3 linked regions of the Elephas maximus indicus genome follow. The protein of the gene in region 2 interacts with the protein of the main gene of each other region in a pairwise test. Links are inferred from orthologs where the notes say so. Each region holds a gene or a part of one and is shown on either strand. Other genes may lie near its edges.

Region 1 (7,627 bases), on a different chromosome or scaffold from region 2:
CCTTCCAGAGGCAACCAATGTTACCAATTTCTCATGAATTCTTTCACTTGTATAAGCAAATACACATATTTCTCCCTTTTGACATAAATGGTGGCCTCCTACACACTATTCTGCATCTTGCTTTTTAGGTTTATCTTTGAGGTTGTATTTAAACTAAAAACACACTCTAAGAATAGCTGTTTATAACCTCTTATGACCAGAATTCAGCAAACATCAATTATCTTTAAAGTCACTTAAAAGCCTCCCCTCCAAAAAAAATCTTATATTAACCAATACTCTTAGTAAACGAGCACATGAAATAAACTTTGGTAAACTGCAGATCTGCATAAAATGACTTGATAAATACTTGACTACTTCACCAGCTACTGAAAATACTACATTGACTCACAAAGTAAAAAGGAAGTAATACATGGATTATACAAGTCCTTTGACGAGTTGATAATAATCAACATAAAAATGCCAGTAAAAATAAAGCTATTTATTGGTTATATTTATTACAAGATTAAATCTTCTGACCCTTCCCTAAATGTTCTTTGCAACTAACTTTCCTGGAAGAAGTATCCTTTCAGATTTGCAAGGGTACTATTCTCAAAAAAAAAAAAAAACTCCTTTGTCTGTCTGCATTTCCTGTTTTCTTCCTCTGAAACACTATGACACTTATTTGAAGCAAGGCTTCATCATCCCTTACATATAAAAGAGAAGTACTATTTTAAAAGTATGCATTAGTAGAGCAATACAAGTATTTCTGGCAACCTAAGTACTAAGAATATCATGGTGAAAAGTCACCTCATACAAAGTGACCAACCAACATGAATTACTAGAGCAGTAAACCTTACCACTTTTATGTAATGGAAAATAAGGCATTAGAAGCTTCAAATTTGTACAATCTTATAAAAAAGTACGTTTTAGGCTGCTGGCAACAATATTAGCTGCAATTTTTCATTAATGTATGTCAACTATTCTGGAATACATTTTATAAAATAAAAAGTCAGAATCATTGTTTCACTGTGTATCAGTAGACATTTATGACTCTATTTCCAAACTGTACCATAAAAATACAAAGTCATCCTTCCATTCAGAGTTTTGGCACTTGAACAAATATAGGGGTTAGAGTTCACACACATGCTCTTTAAGGCAGATCATTACTTATGTACTAAAAAAATATATACTACCTACGTTCATTAAATCTGCTGGCATTTGTCATTTTTGAATAATTTTAAATAATTTTCTCCATGTGTACCTGGAAAAATACATGACTATTTTTTTTTTTATCACAGACCCAGTAAACACAAAGAAATCCCAGGTGATATCAGACTTAAGTCAATTACTCATCACATACTTAGAATGCTGAATTTCACAAATCGTTGTTGACATTATCAAAGTACGAACATAAGACAATGAGAGAAAAAAAAACAAACAGCAACAATATACTCAACAATGGGATGTGACATTAAGAAAAAAATCATTTTCAGTATTACTTTTTGATCTTCCTCTGTTAAATCCACGTGGGGAAAACAACTTGCTATTCTTGTTAATTTGGTATGAAAAACTGATACTGGCATAGTTTTGAGTCAAATTACTATAATGTTTTCAATCTCTTATATAAATAATTGTGTGCAGCATGAAAGTATCTAAAACTCCATAGGTCTCAAGCACAGCTTGAGATAAATTATTTTTTAATCACTTTAGATACATGTCAGGATAAACCTTCTACTCACCTTAATAAAGAGATACAACAACATATTAATCTGATGAAATCTCATGGGTTTTCTTGTTTTGTTCCTGTTTTTGAAATCTCATGTTTTTAATAGGGCTATTTTTCAAAAGTAAGATTCAGGTTAACTATGAGGGACATCATAATGAAGTTTCATGGTACAACACAACAGAGTCAACAGACAGCATTGTCTTAGAAGAGACTGACCTGTAACTTGTAAACAATATTTTGAAATAAGCTGTTCATACCCCCTACTATTTGTTCCTGGCTAAAAATATTTAAATACCTTTAATACACCAAACAACTGGCATTTACCCAGTCAGAAACCTTTAGATGCCAATAAATAAAGGGTCCAGAAATTGGGGGTCTAAGTGAGGTGATATAATTTGGAGTTAATTTCCTATCTCAGGTGAAATTCCCTTATATTCCCTACTTAAATAATGTCATTGTATCTCCCCTTCTCTTCGAACACCCAACTAAGAGGGAGTAACTCTGAATGCCTGTCTTTCTCCTTTCATCAATACCTAGGAGCTCTCATCGCTCCTTCCCTAAGGAAAGGGCGCTGAAGGCCTGACAGGCGATAACCCAGAATACCCTTAAAAGTGTGGGCCTACGAGCAGCACAGCTCCCTCGGATCCAGTTACCACCTTTTCCCTTCCCCCATGCCACTTCCCGGGTTTTCTCAGGCTCGGCCTGCACCCTCCCCACCCGCAGCCACACTTCCAGCTGCTGCTACCGCCTCGGGGGTCTCTCCACGGCTCACACCCCTCTGAGAAGCGCACCTCTTCTCTAACCTGCTCCCCAAAACGTGTTCGTCCCCAGACCTCCCGCAGGGAAGACCGTCCATCCTTGGGCCCTGAGAGGGGAGAGGAAGGCGGCGGAAGGAGGGGAAAGCTACTGCTTCCCCACAGGCAGTAGGGCGGCCGCGGGGCGGGCCACCCAGGGGTTACAGGGGATATCGGGGTGGCCGCTGGAAGGGCCCTCCCACCCTGGGCTGAGGTGGGGGATGGCCGGGAGTTCATTTCTGACCTCCTCGCTCTTCAGCACTTCCTTGAACTCCCGCTTGATTCGCTGCACCGCGATGTTGGCCATGTCTCCGCCCGCAGCTGATTCGTACCCGCCTCCTCCGCCACCGCTACGACCAACGCCACCGCCGCCACCTCTTCCTCCACTGCCTCCTCCTCCGGCGATTCAGACCCGAGCACAGGAACGCTGCCACTGCCACCTCAGCCGCCGCGCTCTCCTCAGTGTGGAATCACCTCCGCGCCCGGCCACCAAAATGGCGCCGGGTCCGCGCATGCGCACGATGCTGACCCGGCCGGGCGGCGCAGCCGCTCCGGGTGTAGCCTCAGCCGCGGCGCCGCGCGTCTCTCCGCTGGAGCTGCGGTCGCCTGACTCCGCCCCGTCGGAGTCTGGGCCGGGCGGGTGCGGTTTCCGCGCTGCCTGACGCACACTCGGCTTTTCCGAGTCCCTGCGACTCCGCCGCGCTGCGAATCAGAATGGTGTGGTCGTGGCTTTCAGTTCCTGGCCTCTGGCCGAAGGCTCGAACCCAACCCGGCAGGACCCACGCGGTTCTCTCTACTCGACCTGGACCCACGCCCTTACTCAGCCTGACCCAGACTAGAGCCCCAACCCACAGGCTTACTGTGCCCGACTATGTCTAGTGTACGAAAACACTATCCTAGAATTCAGTCCGGCCCATTTTCAGTTGGTAAGGCCCCAGAAAATGCACTGCGGTCCGTTGTTGTTCTGAAAACAGGGACACCATAAAGTGCCTCTAATATTCCCATCGGAACTAGAAATCATTGCTTTAAGTATCGTCCTTGCTGGTTCCATTAGGTGTATTTGAGACGGATACTCCATGGAGAGGCCTGAGGTAAGCTTAGACGTCAGATGTCGATTTTTTTTTTTTTTTTACTTATTTTACTTTTTGTTGTTGTTGAGAATATACACAGCAGAAAATACATCAACAGATACTGATCTTTGATCTATTTAGATAATTAATACCGAGCTGTGGAACTGAAAAGATGGTTTTCAAACTTAAGCATGCGTCAAAATCCCTTGGAGCTTGGAGAGATCGTTAAAACACAGATCGCTGGCCCTCGTCCCTGGAGTACAGGGCGAGCCTGATAATTTGCATTTTTAAAAAACTCCCAGATGATGTTGATGCTGCTGGTTCAGGGACCAAACTGAGAATCACTGAACTAAGGCATGCCAAAAATAAAGTGGAAATTGGAGAAATAATAGCTCCTGAAGGGATGGAAAGGAGGGCTTTTACTTCTATAAGCCTAAAGCCTGCAACTGATCTGGCATTAATTGGCACTCAATAAATATTGACTGAATGAATGAATAAAGATAACAGTAAAATGTTTTTAGTGGAAAGGAAGTTCGAAAGGCAATTTAAAAGGGGTTGCTAGGGATTATAGTTAATAATATACTTTTGATGCTGAGAGGTATTTTGAATATGACATTTTGGAATAAGTGATAAAAGGTGTTATTTAAAAGTTTATATTTCATGCACTTCCTTCACCTAACCAATTAGTAAAGTACCCTGTTATGAAAATATTGCAAAAGTTATTAAAAATGTGGGAGCAGAAAAAGAAATCACGACTAGAGGTGAATCATTTAGTTAAGGTGTTAAGGGAATTTCTTGAATTCCTGCCCCAGGAACCAAGAGGAGGTTGTTTTATTCCAGCTCTCCTCATGCCTGGCTGTAAGATCATGGTCAACCTCGTTTTCCTCATCTGCAAAACATGGAAGGTGGATTAAGATGATCTCTTTCAAGTAAAATAAGTGTTCAAAACATCATCTCAGGACATCATTTTCCTAGGTGGACTGGCATAAATTACAAAACTCTTCCAGCAGAGCCCCCTAGTGGTCTTGAAAGAAACCAAATATATAAGTGGGTCACAGTACAATAATAACGTAAATCATGCAGTGCTATGTGTGTTTGTGCCAGAACTAAAAAATATCACTTTGAAGTGTGCAAAAATTTTGAATACTTTACTTTTATATCCCTCATTCAGTTGCCAATCCCAATGTTGGAACTTCAAAGAAACTTGGTATATTCAAATCACAGAGAAACCAGTTAGAAGGGTATAGTAATTTCCTTGGGGGAAGGGAACTTAGTAATTTTTAAATGCACATAATCATTGACTCTGCAGTTCCACTTCTAGGGATTCATTTTACAGTCCTTCCAGAGAATGAGGCAGCTACATATTAACTAATATGAGACAATATTCAAGATACATTTTAAGTGAAAAAAGCACCGTGCCAAATGCAATGAGATATCCTGGATTGGATCCTAGAACCAAAAAAAATTAATGGAAAAACTGGTGAAAGCTGAATAAAGTCTATAATTTAGTTAATAGTATTGTTCCAATGTTGATTTCTTAGTTTTGACATGGTACCATTGTTGTGTACCATGTTAACATTAGAGGAAGCTGGGTAAAATGTATACAGGAATCTCTGTACACTTCTTTAAAACTTTTCAGTAAATCTAAAATTATTACTAAATAAAAAATTTATGTTTAAAAGAGGCACCGGGAAGTCCATATTGTGTATAGTACGCCATCTTATGTGTGAGAGGGGAAAGGAATAACTTGTGTATTTGATGTTCGTGAATCCATACAGTATTGATGGAAAGATACGTAAAAAACTGACAACAGTGGTTATCTCCGAGAAAGGAATTTAAGCACCTTGGAGAAGACAAGGTAGGAGACTTTTCACCATGTGCACTGTTGTATATTTTACCTATTCAATGAAGTAACTTTTTAAAAAAGTGTTTCCAGTAATACAGATCATAAGCTTTTTACTACTACCTAGGTCTGATTGATTACTTCATTTACTAATTAATTAATTAAACAAAAATTTAGTGAGTGTCTCCTATGTGCCAGGTGTGATCTAGACCCTGAAGAAATATCTGTGAACAAGAAAAAAAGAAAAACCCTGCCTTTGTGAAATTTACATTCTAGTGGGGGTGGGGGAAATAAAATTAATCTCAAAGTCTGCAGACCCCTGAGGGTCCCTGAGATGTTTTCAGGGGGTCTGCCATGCCAAAACTATTGTCAAAACTGTACTAAAACATTATTTGCCTTTTCACTGTACTGACATGTGCAGTGATGATGCAAAAGCAGTGGTGGGCAAAACAGCTGTAAAATTTCTATATTAGTGGTAATTCTTCAATGTCACATACCCATGGTTAAAAAAAAAAAAAAGCCAGTTTCACTTTAGAATGTCTTTGGGGAAGCAGTAAATGTTATTAAATCTCAACATTTGAGTAAATATCTTCTTAATATTCTGTGCAACAAAATGGGAAGTATACGTACAGAATGTCTGCATTGTAACAAAGTACAAGGTAAGACACTTGGGCAATTTGCTGAGTTACGAGCTGAACTAGCCATTTTTTTTTTTTATGAAACACTGTTTTTACTTGGAAACCCTGGTACCGTAGTGGTTAAGAGTTACAGCTGTTAACCAGAAGGTCGGCAGTTCAAATCCACCACGCGTCCTTGGAAACTCTGTGGGGCAGTTCTACTCTGTCCTATAGGGTCGCTATGAGTCGGAATCAAATAGACAGCAACAGGTTTTATTTTTACGTGACATAATGACTCAGGCAAAGTATGTTTATTACAACTTGGGTATTTAGCAGACATTTTCTCAAAAATCAGTGAGGTGAGCCTGTCGCTTCAAGAAAAACACCTGACAGTATGTGTCGTCCATGATAAAATTCAAGCTTTCAAGTGACAGAATTTTGGAAAACATGTCTGCCACCATGAACTTCCCAATACTTAAAGATATGGCTGATGATATTGATGGTGATATTAACAGATGTGATTGTTTGCTGTTATACAATGGGATGTGTCAACATTTGGAAGCTCTGTACAAGACAGTGAAGCAATATTTTCTAAATGATCAATGCATGGTGTTACAAAATCATGCATGGGTAAAAAAGATCCCAAGGTTCAAGACAGACCAATGAATTTTAATGTAATAGAGTACACACGGACAACATTTCAGATTCCACATTGCAACTAACCTTTATGAAACTGCCATTTGTCTAGTTTGGGTGTAATATTAAAGAAGAATATCCACAATTATCTGAAAAAGCTATTAAAATATTCTTCCCTTATCCACCTAAATATCTGTGTAAGGTTAGGTTTTCTTCTTATACTTCAACCAAACATACTGCAATATATTGAAAGCAGAAGCAGATAGGAGAATCCATCAGTATGCTAGTAAGCCAGTCCTTAAAGAGGTTTTGTTTTGGAAAACAGTTATTTTTTAATATTATTTATGTGAATATGTAATGGATTTATTATAATTCTATTATAATAAAATTAATAAATTACATTTCTCAGTTTTTATTTTTAATGCAATAAATATTGATAGATATAAGCCATGTAAACAAAAGCTCTTTGGAATCCTCAATAATTTTTCAGAGTACAAAGGGGTCCTGAGTACATTTGAGTATACTGTACTGCTCAGACACTAGGCTTGGATCTAAGAAGTCACAGGCTTTCAGAATATGTAATTTACGTAAACATGATATGTGTCAAGGCTATAAAAATGATTTTAGGTCAAATGGAGGAAAGTTAATCTGGTTGTTCCTAAAAGTTTTGATGTGTTGATTCAAGTAAATATGGCAAGGCATACTAGTGCTTTGCTAACCCTTGATAATAATTACTAACATTTGAAGTGTTCAAATCTCCTTTTCGTAGACCCTGCTAAGCTCCTATTACTGCTCTTCAGATTCAAATTTCCTGCTCTTCCAAATGCAAAGAAATTCTTTTTTCGCTACAACCCTTTCCTGACCTTGGGTTTTGCCAACTTTTTGATATATTTTTCCTCTCTCTGCTTCCCTCACTGTTGCCTATTCTACCCACGCCTCTCATTTAACTCTTTTTTAAAAAA
Region 2 (7,415 bases):
TGGATTACATTTTAAAATAACATATTTTAAATAGTCCTATTTTAATCTAACTCGTGAGAAAATGTTAAAAAAAAAAAAAAAAGTAAGATAATCACTTTTCAACTTCCAAACCTCCAAAACTTTAAAAGTTTCCTCCCTCCAGTTTAGGGAATTCTTAGTCCTCATAACAGCAGAAGATATAATGTCATTAAACAAATTTAAATTCCATCACATTTTAAAATCATGTGGGTCTTAGAATGCTACTCTATAGAGAATTAATTTTTTTCTCTTGCAAGAGTTAGATCACAATATATTCATGCAGTAAATTAGTAAAGTTTGATTAAATCGACATCAGGCTGACCTTTTCCTTGTAATGCTTGTCATTCTTCACCACTTCCATAAAACATCTTTCTGATAACCAATAAATTAACCAAATATTTCAAAGTCATCTTTGTGCTTTTAATCTAAATGTGCTTTGAGTTTATGAACTTAGAACATTAACTGAAAGTTCGGGGTCACTGAAATGGGTAAAGGGAAAGTGGAGAGTTTTAAACCATATTTGTGTTCTCACAAGAAAACCACAAAGACAAACTGAAATCAAACGTCACATGAAACACCCCTATTTCCTTTTCAGCTTAGAGTAGTGGCTGCAGCACTGTTCTGCTCAACCCTTTAAAAAGATCCTTTAAGTTTTCTACTTCCTCTTCTGTTAAGTATCAGCCTGGACTTAGGGTCACGGAGCAGGGGGTTGGGAGGCGGGGTCAAGCGTAAACCAACGGGTCTCCAGTCCCCTGGCCTTGCACTGCAGACGCCCTCGCCCACCCCACAGCACCCCCCCATCCCGTTCCTGCACGGCAGACGCCCTCGCCCACCCCACAGCACCCCCCCCATCCCGTTCCTGCACGGCAGACGCCCTCGCCCACCCCACAGCACCCCCCCCATCCCGTTGCTGCACGGCAGACGCCCTCGCCCACCCCACAGACCCCCGGGCCCCGTTCCTGCACGGCAGACGCCCTCGCCCACCCCACAGCACCCCCCCATCCCGTTGCTGCACGGCAGACGCCCTCGCCCACCCCACAGACCCCTGGGCCCCGTTCCTGCACGGCAGATGCCCTCGCCCACCCCACAGCCCCCCGGACCCAGTTCCTGCACGGCAGACGCCCTCGCCCACCCCGCAGCCCCCCGGACCCCGTTCCTGCACGGCAGATGCCCTCGCCCACCCCACAGCCCCCCGGGCCCTGTTCCTGCACGGCAGACGCCCTCGCCCACCCCGCAGCCCCCCGGGCCCCGTTCCTGCACGGCAGACGCCCTCGCCCACCCCACAGCCCCCCCGATCCCGTTCCTGCACGGCAGACGCCCTCGCCCACCCCACAGCACCCCGGACCCCGTTCCTGCACGGCAGACGCCCTCGCCCACCCCACAGCCCCCCGGACCCCGTTCCTGCACTGCAGACGCCCTCGCCCACCCCACAGCCCCCCGGACCCCGTTCCTATACTGCAGACGCCCTCGCCCACCCCACAGCCCCCCGGGCCCCGTTCCTGCACTGCAGACGCCCTCGCCCACCCCACAGCCCCCCGGGCCCCGTTCCTGCACTGCAGACGCCCTCGCCCACCCCACAGCCCCACAAAGCTACCGGCAGGCGTCCACTCCCGAGAGGTGAGCCCTGCAGAAGCTGCAGGAGCTGGTCTGTCTCCAGCCGTCGCTTAAGGGCTTGGGGTCCGAACCCCCTTCCCTCCTGCCCCAGGGGAAAGCCGACCGGGAGGGGGGCACCCGGCTTCGCCCTCGGATGTGCTCTCGGGGCGCCTTTCCGCCGCGACACGGGGGTCACCTGGGGTGGAGGCACCTGGGGTGGGGTCACCTGGGTGGCAGCTCCCGGCGACACGGGGGTCACCTGGGGGTGGGGTCACCTGAGGGGCAGCTCCCGGCGACATGGGGGTCACCTGGGGTGGGGTCATCTGGGGGTCAGGTCACCTGGAGGGCAGCTCCCGGCGACACGGGGGTCACCTGGTGACACGGGGTGGGGTCACCCGAGGGGCAGCTCCCGGCTACACGGGGATCACCTGGGGGTGGGGTCACCTGGAGGTGAGGTCACCTGGGGGGCAGCTCCCTGCAACACAGGGGTCACCTGGGGTGGGGTCACCATGGGGTGGGGTCACCAGAGGGGCAGCTCCCTGCGACACAGGGGTCACCTGGGGTGGGGTCACCATGGGGTGGGGTCACCATGGGGTGGGGTCACCATGGGGTGGGGTCACCTGGTGACATGGGGGTGGGGTCACCCGAGGGGCAGCTCCCGGCGACACGGGGTCACCCCGCTGCTGCTCTGAGGCAGGAGCCACCATTTCACCACGAATCCCCCCGAGAACCCCCGTCTCCCTTCCGACCACCGCCGCCCCGATCCCAACACCAAGCCGCCGGCAACTCCTAAGGTTCCAGCTGCAACAATGGGACCCAACTACCGAGCGAGCTTGTCACTTCGCACGCAAATCCTCAAGCAAGTCACTTTTCAAAGGGCGGACGGTTTGCCGGCTGACGCGATTTTAAAGACTGAACGCGCCGCGGCCAAAGCCCGGCAGACCGAGAGCCCCCGAAACCCGGGTAGCAGCCCCGGGGCGACCTTTGCCCCCGACCCTGCCGCGGGGACCTCGGCCCTCGCTCCCCCCCGGGAACACTCACCGGAGGCCATGGTTCCGCTCACCGCGCCGCCCCGCAGGCAGCTCCAAGCGTCCGGGCCGGACGGCGCCGCGGCCAGGGAGCGCGTCAGTCAGTCAGCCGGTCGCGGCCCTCTGCCGCCGGGACCCCAGTTTCCCTGGCCACTCCCGGGCCCTCCTCCTCCTTCCCGCCCTCCTCGGCTCTGCGGCTCACACCTTCCCACCTCCTTAGCTCTCGCGCTCCGGTCAGCCGGCGTCGCCCGTCCAGGGTGCCGGAGCGCGGTGGGAGCCGAGCGCCCGCCCGCGGAGAGGCAGGCAGCCCGGCGGGAGGGGGATTTCCCGCCGCTGACGTAGGCCGCTCGCCACCGCGTCCTCCGGGGGCGGGGGGCGGGGCCTCCGGCGGCCCGCGCGCGTCCGCACGCCCCTGCGCCCCGTGCGCGCGCCCGCCCCCGCGCATGCGCCCCCGAAGGGCTGCGGGCCGGGGGAGCCGGGAGCGCAGGATCCTGGGGAGCGCAGGGGACGCCGGGAGGCGGAGGGGCCGGCCGCGCGCCGAGGCCGCGGGCCGCCGAGAAATCCCCCTCCTCCGGGTTGTTCTGCCGAGCGTGGTTTAAAGTTCACAGGCGGGTGGGAGGGAGCGGTGACGTCGGGAGGCCGGCCTGCCGGGGCGCTCGGGGCGGGCCGGCGGCTCGGGGGAGGTGGGCCTGGGGTTTTCGATCGGTGCTTCCCCCTTTTCCCGCTTTCGTACATGCAAATGGCCGCCCCCGGCCGGCGGTGAGGCGGCGCGTCCTGAGGCGCCGCTGAGGGGTGCGGCCGCGGCCGGCGCCTCTGTTCTCCGTGCGGGATCTTCGTTTGCGTGGGGCTCCCCCGCAGTGTGGCTTCCCCCTCTGTCTTTAAGCTGCGAGGGCACCGAGTTGACTTTACGAGTTTTACCCACGAAAACCTTTCGAGTCAGAGTCCTGCGCCGCGATTTCGTGCTCTGGGGAGCAGTTGCCCCGTCGTTACGTGTGGAAGTTGAGCGAAAAACGAGTCGCCGTTGGGTGGACCCCATATCCTGGGATTTAACGGAGAGGCCCAGCAGGAAGGGGAGATGGAAAACCATTCGGAGTTGAAGGAATCCAGTATAGCTTTGTGTCCCGCATTTGCTGAGAGCCTCCTCCGGGCCAGATAGTTTATCTCACCTGTGAAGTAGTAGTATCCTGGTTTTAGAGATGAGGTGCGGGGTTCAGAGAGTTAAGTAACTTGTCCAAAGGCCAGAATGCTGCTAGAAGGAAAAAGAATTTATACCTAAGGTAGTCTGAATCCAAACCTTCATGTTCTTTCCACGCTCTCCCCCCCCTTTTTTTTTTTAATTTTAAATTGTGTTTTAGGTGAAAGTGTACAGTGCAGATTAGTTTTCATTCAAAAAATTTATACGCCAGTTGTTTGGTGATGTTAATTGCAGTCCCCACAATGTGTCAGTACTCCCCCTCTTTCCACTCTGGGCTCTCCATGTCCATTCATCCAGTGTTCTGTTCCTTCCTGCCTTCTCCTCTTTGCTTTTGGGTAGGTGTTGCCCGTTTGGTCTCTATACTTGACTGAACTAAGAAACACATTCCTCACATGTGTTATTTGTTTTATAGGCCTGAAAGGTGGACTTCAGGAGTGGCTTCAGTTCTGAGTTAGTCCTCTCTCTCTTATTGCCTCAAATGTATGGAGTTGGAATAGAGAGTATCAGCCTAGAGTAAGTGTTCTAAATGGGAGGACCCTATTTGGAAAATTAAAACCTGCCAACCCCAGTATCCTCCTACAAAATAGAGAAGACTGTAGCACTTTTACTACTGAGTAAATATTAAATCACACTGTGACATGCATCATAGGCAATCTGCTGAAGAGACTGCAAAGACAAAAAGGTTTCACCCTTCTGTATAGCCAGACAGATAAAATCCATTACATACCTGTTAATTGTCTTATCCTAAATATTAAATCACACTGTGACGTACATCATAGGCAATCTGCTAAAGAGACTGCAAAGACAAAAAAAAACTTCACCCTTCTATATAGCCAGACAAATACAATCCATTACATACCTGTTAATTGTCTTATCCAAAAGGGGGAAAAAAAAGCAAACAAAACTTTTTCTATCGTTTCAGCAATAGGGAGTTACATCTTGGAGCCAACCCCTTTGGCTTAAACTCCTACAGAGACAGGAAGACTTGGTGCTATCCTCCTTTATGTTCCTATTTCAAAGAAATGCCTTCAAGGCCACCAAGAAAGACCTTCTTTGGATCAGAACTGGCCAAGAGGATTAAAAGGATTCACGTATTTCTCAAAGAGTTAGAGAAAGCATTTACAAATCAAATTTTCTAAAGAAGAGGGGGGCGAGGGGAAGGTCTCTGTTTTTTTTGGCACCAGGGAAGTTTTTTAATTAAAAGTTTTTCTTAGATTTTATTTATCCTCATAATCCCAAATGTCAGAGCTGTAAGGGCAGACTGAGCACAGATGTTTAAGAATCGATTAGAAGGGTGAGAGACAGATAGGAATGGAAAATACTTTGTGTTTTTTCATATTCCACCTGCAGGAATTGATTGGTTTTAGGTGTTCCTTGAACTTAATGGTATTGTTGGTTCCATAGATTCAGTAGTGACGGAGAAATTGATGATGATTGAGAGAAAGGGGGTTAATTACTTGAATGAGGAAGAGAGACAAGATGAAATCCAGGGCACAGGTGAAGGGCCACCAATTGGAATGGAGACTTTTCTTCTGTGGGTAAAAGAAGGAAGACAGAGTGGGTGGTTACAGATGCACAGAGCCCAGTATACTTGGTGGTACCAAGACGGGGTACTCAGTCAGATTGCCTTAAAAAAAAAATGAAGTATAAGGTGAAGGGCAGAAACTGAAAACATGGTCTCTGAGAGTGAAGTTTTAGAAGGTATACCTGGCTGTATTGAATCCCCATTTGAGATTTGTGGTCATAAATATCAGACCAGTCAGTTGTTAGGTGCTGTTGAGTCGGTTCTGACTCTTAGCGACCCTGTGCACAACAGAAGGAAACACTCCCCGATCCTGAGCCATCCTTAAAATCGTTGTTATGCTTGAGCTTATTGTTACAGCCACTGTGTCAATCCACCTCATTGAGGGTCTTCCTCTTTTCTGCTTACTCTGTACTTTGCCAAGCATGATGTCCTCCTCCAGGGACTGATCCCTGCTGACAACACGCCCGAAGTATGGAAGACGCAGTCTCACCATTGTTCTAAAGAGCATTCTGGTTGTACTTCTTCCGAGACAGATTTGTTTGTTCTTGTGGCAGCCCATGGTATATTCAATATTCTTTGCCAACACCACAATTCAAAGGCATCAATTCTTTGGATTTCCTTATTCATTGTCCAGCTTTCACATGCATAGGAGGCAATTGAAAACACCATGGCTTGGGTCAGGCGCACCTTAGTGTTTAAGGTCACATTTTTGCTTTTGAACCCTTTAAAGAAGTCCTTTGCAGAAGACCAGTCAGTACAATATTTCTTACATAGCCCAAGGAATAGCAATGAGCAATACTGTCTTGAAAAAGAAGACAAAAAGGTAGGAAAAGTTAGGTTGGATGGGAGGGAATATGTATAATACCTAAGCGTCTGAACCCGCACCTGTTCCCTAGGTGATCTCATCCATTCTCCTGATTTTACCCATGGACCCAGGACCATATATCCAGCCTGAACCTCTCCTTGGGCTTCAAACCCTTATATCCAGTTGTCTGCTAGACACATTCACTAGAAGTCCCGTAGGCATCCCAGCCTCAGCCTACCCAACATCTTCTCTCCTAAAGCTGCTCTTCCTCTCGTGTTTTCTGGGCTCAGAAACATAGGCTAAAACTTTGGAGCCGTCTCTGCCTCCTTTCGTTCTCACCACCCTCTCACCTACCCCATGATTTTACCAGTCAAAGAGGAACCCGTTCGCTCTCACTACTGTCACTGCCCTTGTTCAAATCATTCCTACCCCCATGACATCCAGTCACCAAATCCTGCTGATTTTCCCAGTCAAATAGGAAGCCATTCCTGTTGTCTCGTGACTGCCACTGCCCTTGTTCAAATCATCATACCCCACCTGAACTATTAGAATACTCACCTATTAACGTCTGTCTACATTTTTGCCCCCCCCCACAAAACCATTCAGACCTATTGTTGCTTGAGTCATCTGTATGAGCGCACTTCTGACCATATCACTCTCGTGCTTTAAAACCATCAGCAGCATCCCGATCCAAATACCAACAGCTTGCTTTAATGAGATGGAAAAACTAGACATTAACTTTATATGGAGAGGAAAGAGGCCCTGGAGCAATAAAGCATTATTGAGGAGGAACTACAAAGTAGGAGGCCTCGTACTGCCTGACCTCAGAACCTACTATACAGCTGTGGTAGTCAAAATAGCCTGGTACTGGTACAATGACAGACACATTGACCAAAGAACAGAATTGAGAACCCAGATGTAAATCCATCTACCTATAGTCACCTGATCTTTCACAAAGGCCCAAAGTCCATTAAATGGGGGAAAAGACAGTCTTTTTAACAAATGTACTGGCAAAACTGGATGTCCATCTGTGAAAAAAAAAAATGAAACAGGACTCATATCTCACATCATACACAAAAGCTAATTCAAAATGGGCCAAAGACATAAAACCAAAAACTATGAAGATGATAAAAAGAAAAATAGGGTCAGTGCCAGGGGCCCTAATATACATCATAAATGGAATACAAACCATAACTGACAATATACAAACACTGGAAGATAAGCTAGGTAACTGGGATTTTCTAAAAATTA
Region 3 (6,824 bases), on a different chromosome or scaffold from region 2:
CCGCCAAGGGAGGAAAGCCCTGATCCAGCCTGGGTCTGGGGCCAGGTTTCCCCCAGATGGGTAGTGGGGAGCAGCCCCCTGCGACTCCTTACTGCTTGTCAGCATGCTCCATGGCAGCTCGGATCCCCTTGGGAACACTGATCACACCCTGCACGAGATGCTGGCCCAGGAGCTCCTCGGTGGCAGCCGCCATGCCCAGCACAGCCTTGCCAAAGCCCACGAGGTAGAGGTTGTGCCGCAGCTGAAAGCTCCGGTCCCGCACCTTCAACTGCCTGCCGGTAGGGTCCAAGGTCAGGACCCGGTGTAGCATGGGGCCCGGCAGTACAGCACCAACAGCACTCTCAAACAGTTGCTGCGCCTGCTCCGGTAGGGCCATGCCGCTGGCCAGCCGGGCCACTGGGCCCCACCAGGGGAGTGGGCACAAGGGGGCTCGGGCCAGGCGGGGTATGACCTGCAGGGTTGCAGCCATGCCCCACTGCTCTCAGCACCGCCTGGCGCCCATAGCTGCCTAAGGGGAAGAAAAGACCAGTCAGGGCTGTTGCAGGACCAGAGACAGGAGGCCCCCCCACACCCACTCTCTGAAGGCTCAGGACTGGTGGACCCCATAGCTGCTGCTGCAGGCATAGGCCATCTGCCAGCCCAAGGAGACTTCCTGAAGCCCATAGCTGCCTGATCTCACTCTGGGCCTCAGAGCCCAGCCCTGCCACCCAGCCATGTCCTCCTCTTCTGTAGACCACATGCTCCCCTCTGGGAGCTCTGCCCGAGTCCGAAGGTCCTGTTAGCTGAGCCCTCTTCCTGGGTTGGCCCTGTGGCTGAGTTAATCATCCACAGATTCCTGTCTGTGGGCTCCTGTCTCGCCCCTTTCCCACCCCCTGCCCTTCTGAGCCCTCACTCAGCAATACCCCTTTCTGGCACTGCTGCCGGAAAGCTACTGGTTGTCCCCCCAACTGATCTTAGGCCCAGTGACCTCTAGCCTGCTGTATTTCATTAGCTCAGGGGACTGGGTTGGGGTTCCTGGGAAGGCTGGGTATCTGTGGGGAGGCTGCAGGCTCACCAGGGCACCACCAGGCCAGGTCAGGCCCAAATTACACCCTCAGAGTGTGCGGCCTTAGGAATCCCAGCACTCAGGGCCAGTCCAGCAAGAGTTCCAGCTCAAATCAGGAATGACAGCAAAATCTGGCTCAGGGTGGAACCTTACGAAGTCCCAAGGCACCACGAGAAACCATGCCATGCAGGATAGGGAAGGACGCCCTTTTACCCACATAGCTGGCCAGACCCACCCCTGCCAAGAACATCCCCTTTGGCTCTGAAATAACAAAACAAGTCCTGGGTCACACCACCCACTACCGTAAGGGCCCAGTGGCTGGAGCCAGCAAAGGCCAGACTACCACATTTGAGCCCAGACAGCCATTTTCCCCACTGGGCAGGGGAAAAGCTAAAGAAGCCCTAAGGTGAAGGTCAGGAGACTGCAGAAGGGTTTAGGGACAATGAACCCCCAAAGAGCTCATCCGTAAAAAGGCATCTACTTTAATAAATGCCTCCCATAAATGCTGCATACTGACTGTATCAGCAAGTGTGGACTGAGCAGGGGAAGGAGGCTGGGGTCAGGATTCCAGCTCTACCACAGCTGTCCTGAGTGGCTGAGCCTCACCTGCAAAACGAGAGGTAGGATGAGATTAAGACTACTTACTGTGCTCCTCTCCCCCTGACAGCCTAGGGCTCTGCACAGAAAATCTGGAACCCAAACGTCAGTTCATCTCACACCCAAGTAACCTGGCAGCGTCCGGCCCTGGGCCACTTAGGCTGCATGGTCTTCAGCCTTCTCTGTGAAAGGGAACAGAAGGCATGGCCATGGGAGTGCTAAAAATGGGATCCAGCTTTTGCTGGGGGACCACTGGGGCTCGCCCATTATACATGGTACTAAAGCAGTTTTAATATCTAGCAACACTTGGTTTTGAGGGAGTGGGCAAGTTTCCAGCCTTGCTACTACCAGAGCAAAGTATCCAGTAACAAGGTGGGGGGTGGGGTGGGGGTCGGGACTAAGGCCTAGGGTTGCCAAATAAAACACAGGACGCCAAGTTAAATGTGAATTTCAAATAAATGAGTTATTTTTTTACAGTAAAAAAAAAAAAACGAGTAATTTCTTAGTGTAAGTTTATAAGCTGGTTCCTGGGTGGCACAGTTTGCACTTGACTACTGACCTAAAGGTTGACAGTTCAAATGCACCCTGCGGTGCTGTGGGAGAAAGGCCTAGCTATCTGGTTCCTTAAAAATTACAAGAAAACCCTGTGGAGCAGTTCTGCTCTATAAACACATGAAGTCGTCATGAGTCACAACAGACTCCATCCACTGCAATGGGTTTGGTTTTTTGGTTATGTTGTCCCATGCAATAACTGGGACATCCCATTATCCCACTGCTGTCGAGTCGATTCCGACTCATAGCGACCCTATAGGACAGAATAGAACTGCCCTATAGAGTTTCCAAGGAGCACCTGGTGGATTTGAACTGATCGCTGACCTTTTGGTTAGCAGCCATAGCTCTTAACCGCTACGCCACCAGGGTTTCCAACTGGGACATAGTTACACTAAAATTACTCGTTGCTCATATTAAATTCAAATTTAACTAGACGTCCTGTATTTTTATTTGCTAAATCTGTCGATCCAGTGCCCTATACGGTCTTTCCTAAACTCCTGGACTCTCCATCACGAAACCCTGAAATGAGAAAACCCGCCTTGACTCCTCCCGGCCACTAGGTGGGGCTGGCCGGCCTGCACCTGCCCGAATCCGCCCCCCGGAAGTGACGTCACCCACGAGCTGAGAGCGCCGACCTCCGAGGGAAATGGTTGTGGGGAACGGTCGGTGATGACCCGAAGGATAACGGCCCACTGCCACCCCGACCAGGCGTCGCCCTGACGAGGGCGCGCTTCCGGGAGCCACGCGGGCCCTCGCGACGCGGACTCACCGCCCCACGGCTCCACGCCGCGTCACCTAACGCAGGAACCGGAAGTACCCGTGGGCGGACGGAGCGGAACCCGGAAGTGAGGGTATGAAGGCGGGTTGGGGCGTTGCCAGTGTGCGCTTCGACCCGACTGGGCGCCAGGAAGTCAGAAAACGTTCGGGGTTGTGTACCTGAGTCGGCGCTGCCACGCCAGGCCCTGCACTTGGGTCCTGATGGAGCAGACTCAGGAGCGGGAGTTGGGGCATCTCCGCCCCAGACCCGCTGTAAGACCTGGGTGGTGTCACCTTCAGGCCTCGGTTTCTCCATTTCTGTTGTCGTTGGGCGCGGTTGGGTTGATTTCATAGCGACTTCACGTGACAGAGCCGAACTACCACCACAGGGTTTTCTAGGAGCAGATCGCCGGATCTTTTCGCCCACAGATCTGCTGGGTGGGTTCAAACCGCTAACCTTTTGGTTAGCAGCCCAGTGCTTAACCTTGCGCCACCAGGGCTCCTTTCTTCATCTTTACGATGGGAGTAATAACTCCCACCTCCCCAAATTGCTATAATCTGTCCCCTGCTTTATCCTGTACAATCCAATCAGTCAGTAAATACGTCCTGAGCTCCTGTTAGGTGCCAGGCACTGGGCTGAGCAAACGGACTGAGGATCACACCCCTTCTTGCAAAGTCATCGCTGCCCTTCCCTACCGTTATAATCCTACAACTCATTGCTACCCCCACGGGCCATCACAGACAGCTCTGTCTCAGCAAGAGAGTTCTGTTACTTGATCCTCGAACCTACCGCAAACTCTGTGAACACGAATGAGCTTGGGCCCCCCTAGCTGTCCTTGCTTTCCCCCTGTGTCCGCCCTGAGCCGGGCTTTATGCCTTCCCATAGTCAAAAGACAAGTCCCTACCAGACTCCAGAAACACAGATGAGTACACTGTATGTTTTTACTGACTTTTCTTGGAGAGGTGGAGGAGGGAGTTACACAACAGACTTCCTGAAAATCTCCTTGAAACGTCTTTCTCCTCATCCTGCTTCTGTCCACAGCTGCCACATCTCATAGGTCTCCAAACCATGCCCTTGTCATGAACTTGCTCTCTGAGTTTTTCTTTCCCTACCAGTCTCTCCCAAATGCCTTCCCTCCTCAGCAAAACAAAGGCACCTTCAGGAGGATCTACCAACCTTTTTTAGAGATGGAGGAGATTATAGCTATTTGAAATTTCATGGTTTTTCCTTGCTTATAACAATCTGTCGTCATCCATCCAATTGTTAATTCTTCCATCATTCAAAAGACATTTCTTGGGTGGCTTCTATGTGGGCCAAATGCAGTAGATGCTGGGATGAATAAGAACTGGTACATTTACTTGGGAAATTTTGCTTTTGTGATTACATACCCACACTGCTGGTGGGAGTGGAGATAGTGAGCACCTCTCTCAGTATTTAGTGCCAGAAACGTTCATAAACAAATAGCATCTACTGTGCCAGTGCTATTTTCTCAGACTATAAACAGGATACTAATTGCACCCATTTTTTATTCTGCCACCCCCATCCCCACAGCTACTCACAAGATGCCTTTGACAACAGCAAGATTTAAATGACCACTGGACTGTGAGCTCCTGGAAGGGGGTGAATTGGTCTAATTTGTATTTGTATTTCTATTGCCCTGCACATGATCAGACAAAAATAGAACCTGGATTGTTTTTCTTTTTTTGTAATTAACAGGAGGGCAGCAAAGTGCTCAGCTGAAAAGTACTGTAGACCCTGCTGCTAGGTAGAAAGTATTTCACAGAAGAAAAAGAGATGGGGGTAGGTGGAAGCAGAGGGCATCATGAAGCAGTGGAATTTAGACCTGAGGCAACGATTTGGCTTACCAGAATGCTTACACATTATCTTGATAATGGACATGATACCTCATGGGGATTTTATTTTAAAATAAGTAGAGAAATGCTCAGGTTTGTCAGGCATAAACTTACTTATGAGATAGCACACACGTAAGACCCCAAGACACTAGTTTGTTATTGTTGTTGTTAGGTGCAATCAAGTCGGTTGCAACTCATAGCAACCCCACGTACAATAGAACGAAACACTGCCCAGTCCTGCACCATCCTAGCAGTCGTTGTTATGCTTGAGCTCATTGTTGCAGCCACTGTGTCAATGCATTTTGTGGAGAGTCTCCCTCTCTTTTGCTGACCCTCTGCCAAGCATGATGTCCTTCTCCAAGGGCTCTCCTGATAACATGTCCAAATACATGAGATGAAGTCTCGCTATCCTTGCTTCTAAGGAGCGTTCTGGTTGTACTTCTAAGAAAGATTTGTTTGTTTTTCTGTCAGTACATGGCATATTCAATACTCTTCAACAATATCATAATTAAAAGGCATCAATTCTTCCTCTGTCTTCCTTATTTATCCTTCAGCTTTTCATACGCATATGAGGCGATCGAAAATACCATTGCTTGGGTCAGCCAAGCCTTAGTCCTCAAAGTGACATCTTTGCTTTTTAACATTTTAAAGAGACGTTTGGCAGCCAAAAAAACAAAACCAAACCCGTTGCTGTCGAGTCGATTCCAACTCATAGCGACCCTATAGGACAGAATAGAACTGCCCCATAGAGTTTCCAAGGAGTGCCTGATGGATTCAAACTGCTGACCTTTTGGTTAGCAATCATAGCTCTTAACCACTACACCACCAGGGATTCCCTCTTTGGCAGCAGATTTGCCCAGTGCAATATGTCCTTTGATTTCTTGACTGCGGCTTCCGTGGCCATTGATCATGGATCCAAGTAAAATGAAATCCTTGACGGCTTCAATATTTTCTCTGTTTAGCATGGCGTTGCTTATTGTTCCAGTTGTGAGGATATTTGTTTTATTTATGTTGAGGCGTAATCCATACTGAAGGCTATAGTCTTTGATCTTCATCAGTAAGTGCTTCAAGTCCCCTTCACTTTTGGCAAGCAAGGTTGGGTCATCTGCATATTGCAGGTTGTTAATGAGTCTTCTTCCAATCCTGATACCAAGTTCTTTTTTATGTAGTCCAGCCTCTCAGATTATTTGCTCAACATACAGATTGAATAAGTATGGTGAAAGGATACAACCCTGATGCACACTTTTTCTGATTTTAAACCACGCAGTATCCCTTCGTTCTGTCTGAAAGACTGCCTCTTGGTCTATGTACAGGTTCTTCATGAGCACAATTAAGTACGTGGCGTGGAATTCTCATTCTTTACAATGTTATCCATAATTGTTATGATCCACACATTCAAATGCCTTTGCATAGTCAATAAAACACAGGTAAACATCTTTCTGGTATTCTCTGCTTTCAGCAAGATCCATCTGACATCAGCAGTGATGTTCCTCATTCCACTTCCTCTTCTGAACCTGGCTTGAATTTCTGGTAGTTCTCTTTCAAGGTACTGCTGCAACTGCTTTTGAATTATATTCAGCAAAATTTTACTTGCTTGTGATATTAATGATTAAAATTGTTTGATAATTTCCACATTCTGTTGGATCACCTTTCTTTGGAATGGGCACAAATATGGATCTCTTCAGTCAGTTGGCCAGGTAGCTGTCTTAAAAATTTCTTGGCATAGATGAGTGAGCACCTCCAGCATTGCATCCATTTGTTGAAACTTCTCAATTGGTATTCCATCAATTCCTGAAGGCTTATTTTTCACCAATGCAGCTTGTACCCTTCCTTCCTTACCATTGGTTCTTGATCATATGCTACTTCCTGAAATGGCTGAATGTTGACCAGTTCTTTTTGGAGCAGTGACTCTGTGTATTCCTTCCGTCCTCTTTTGATGCTTCCTGCATTGTCCAATATTTTGCCCACAGAGTTCTGCAGTATTGCAACTGAAGGCTTGAATTTTTTCTTCAGTTCTTTC

What was found. The genes of interacting proteins can lie anywhere in the genome.
Region 1: the proteins of REL (region 2) and UBE2K interact in binary tests that used the Homo sapiens proteins (3 or more experiments, as listed by UniProt). The two-hybrid records come from large-scale screens. The link is inferred for Elephas maximus indicus from reciprocal best matches to the Homo sapiens genes REL and UBE2K.
Region 3: the proteins of REL (region 2) and GLYCTK interact in binary tests that used the Homo sapiens proteins (3 or more experiments, as listed by UniProt). The two-hybrid records come from large-scale screens. The link is inferred for Elephas maximus indicus from reciprocal best matches to the Homo sapiens genes REL and GLYCTK.

What each region holds. Positions count from the first base shown.
Region 1 is NC_064823.1:121,116,478-121,124,104, forward strand, and holds the start of UBE2K (ubiquitin-conjugating enzyme E2 K), read right to left. Parts: upstream 3,024-7,627; 5' UTR 2,807-3,023; coding exon 2,744-2,806; intron 1-2,743. UniProt on the Homo sapiens protein: Accepts ubiquitin from the E1 complex and catalyzes its covalent attachment to other proteins. In vitro, in the presence or in the absence of BRCA1-BARD1 E3 ubiquitin-protein ligase complex, catalyzes the synthesis of 'Lys-48'-linked polyubiquitin chains.
Region 2 is NC_064844.1:1,354,772-1,362,186, forward strand, and holds the start of REL (proto-oncogene c-Rel), read right to left. Parts: upstream 3,001-7,415; 5' UTR 2,663-3,000; coding exon 2,653-2,662; intron 1-2,652. UniProt on the Homo sapiens protein: Proto-oncogene that may play a role in differentiation and lymphopoiesis.
Region 3 is NC_064838.1:56,510,786-56,517,609, reverse strand, and holds the start of GLYCTK (glycerate kinase), read right to left. Parts: upstream 3,024-6,824; 5' UTR 2,964-3,023; intron 1,825-2,963; 5' UTR 1,691-1,824; intron 1,234-1,690; exon of another isoform or gene 1,055-1,233; intron 509-1,054; 5' UTR 470-508; coding exon 93-469; intron 1-92.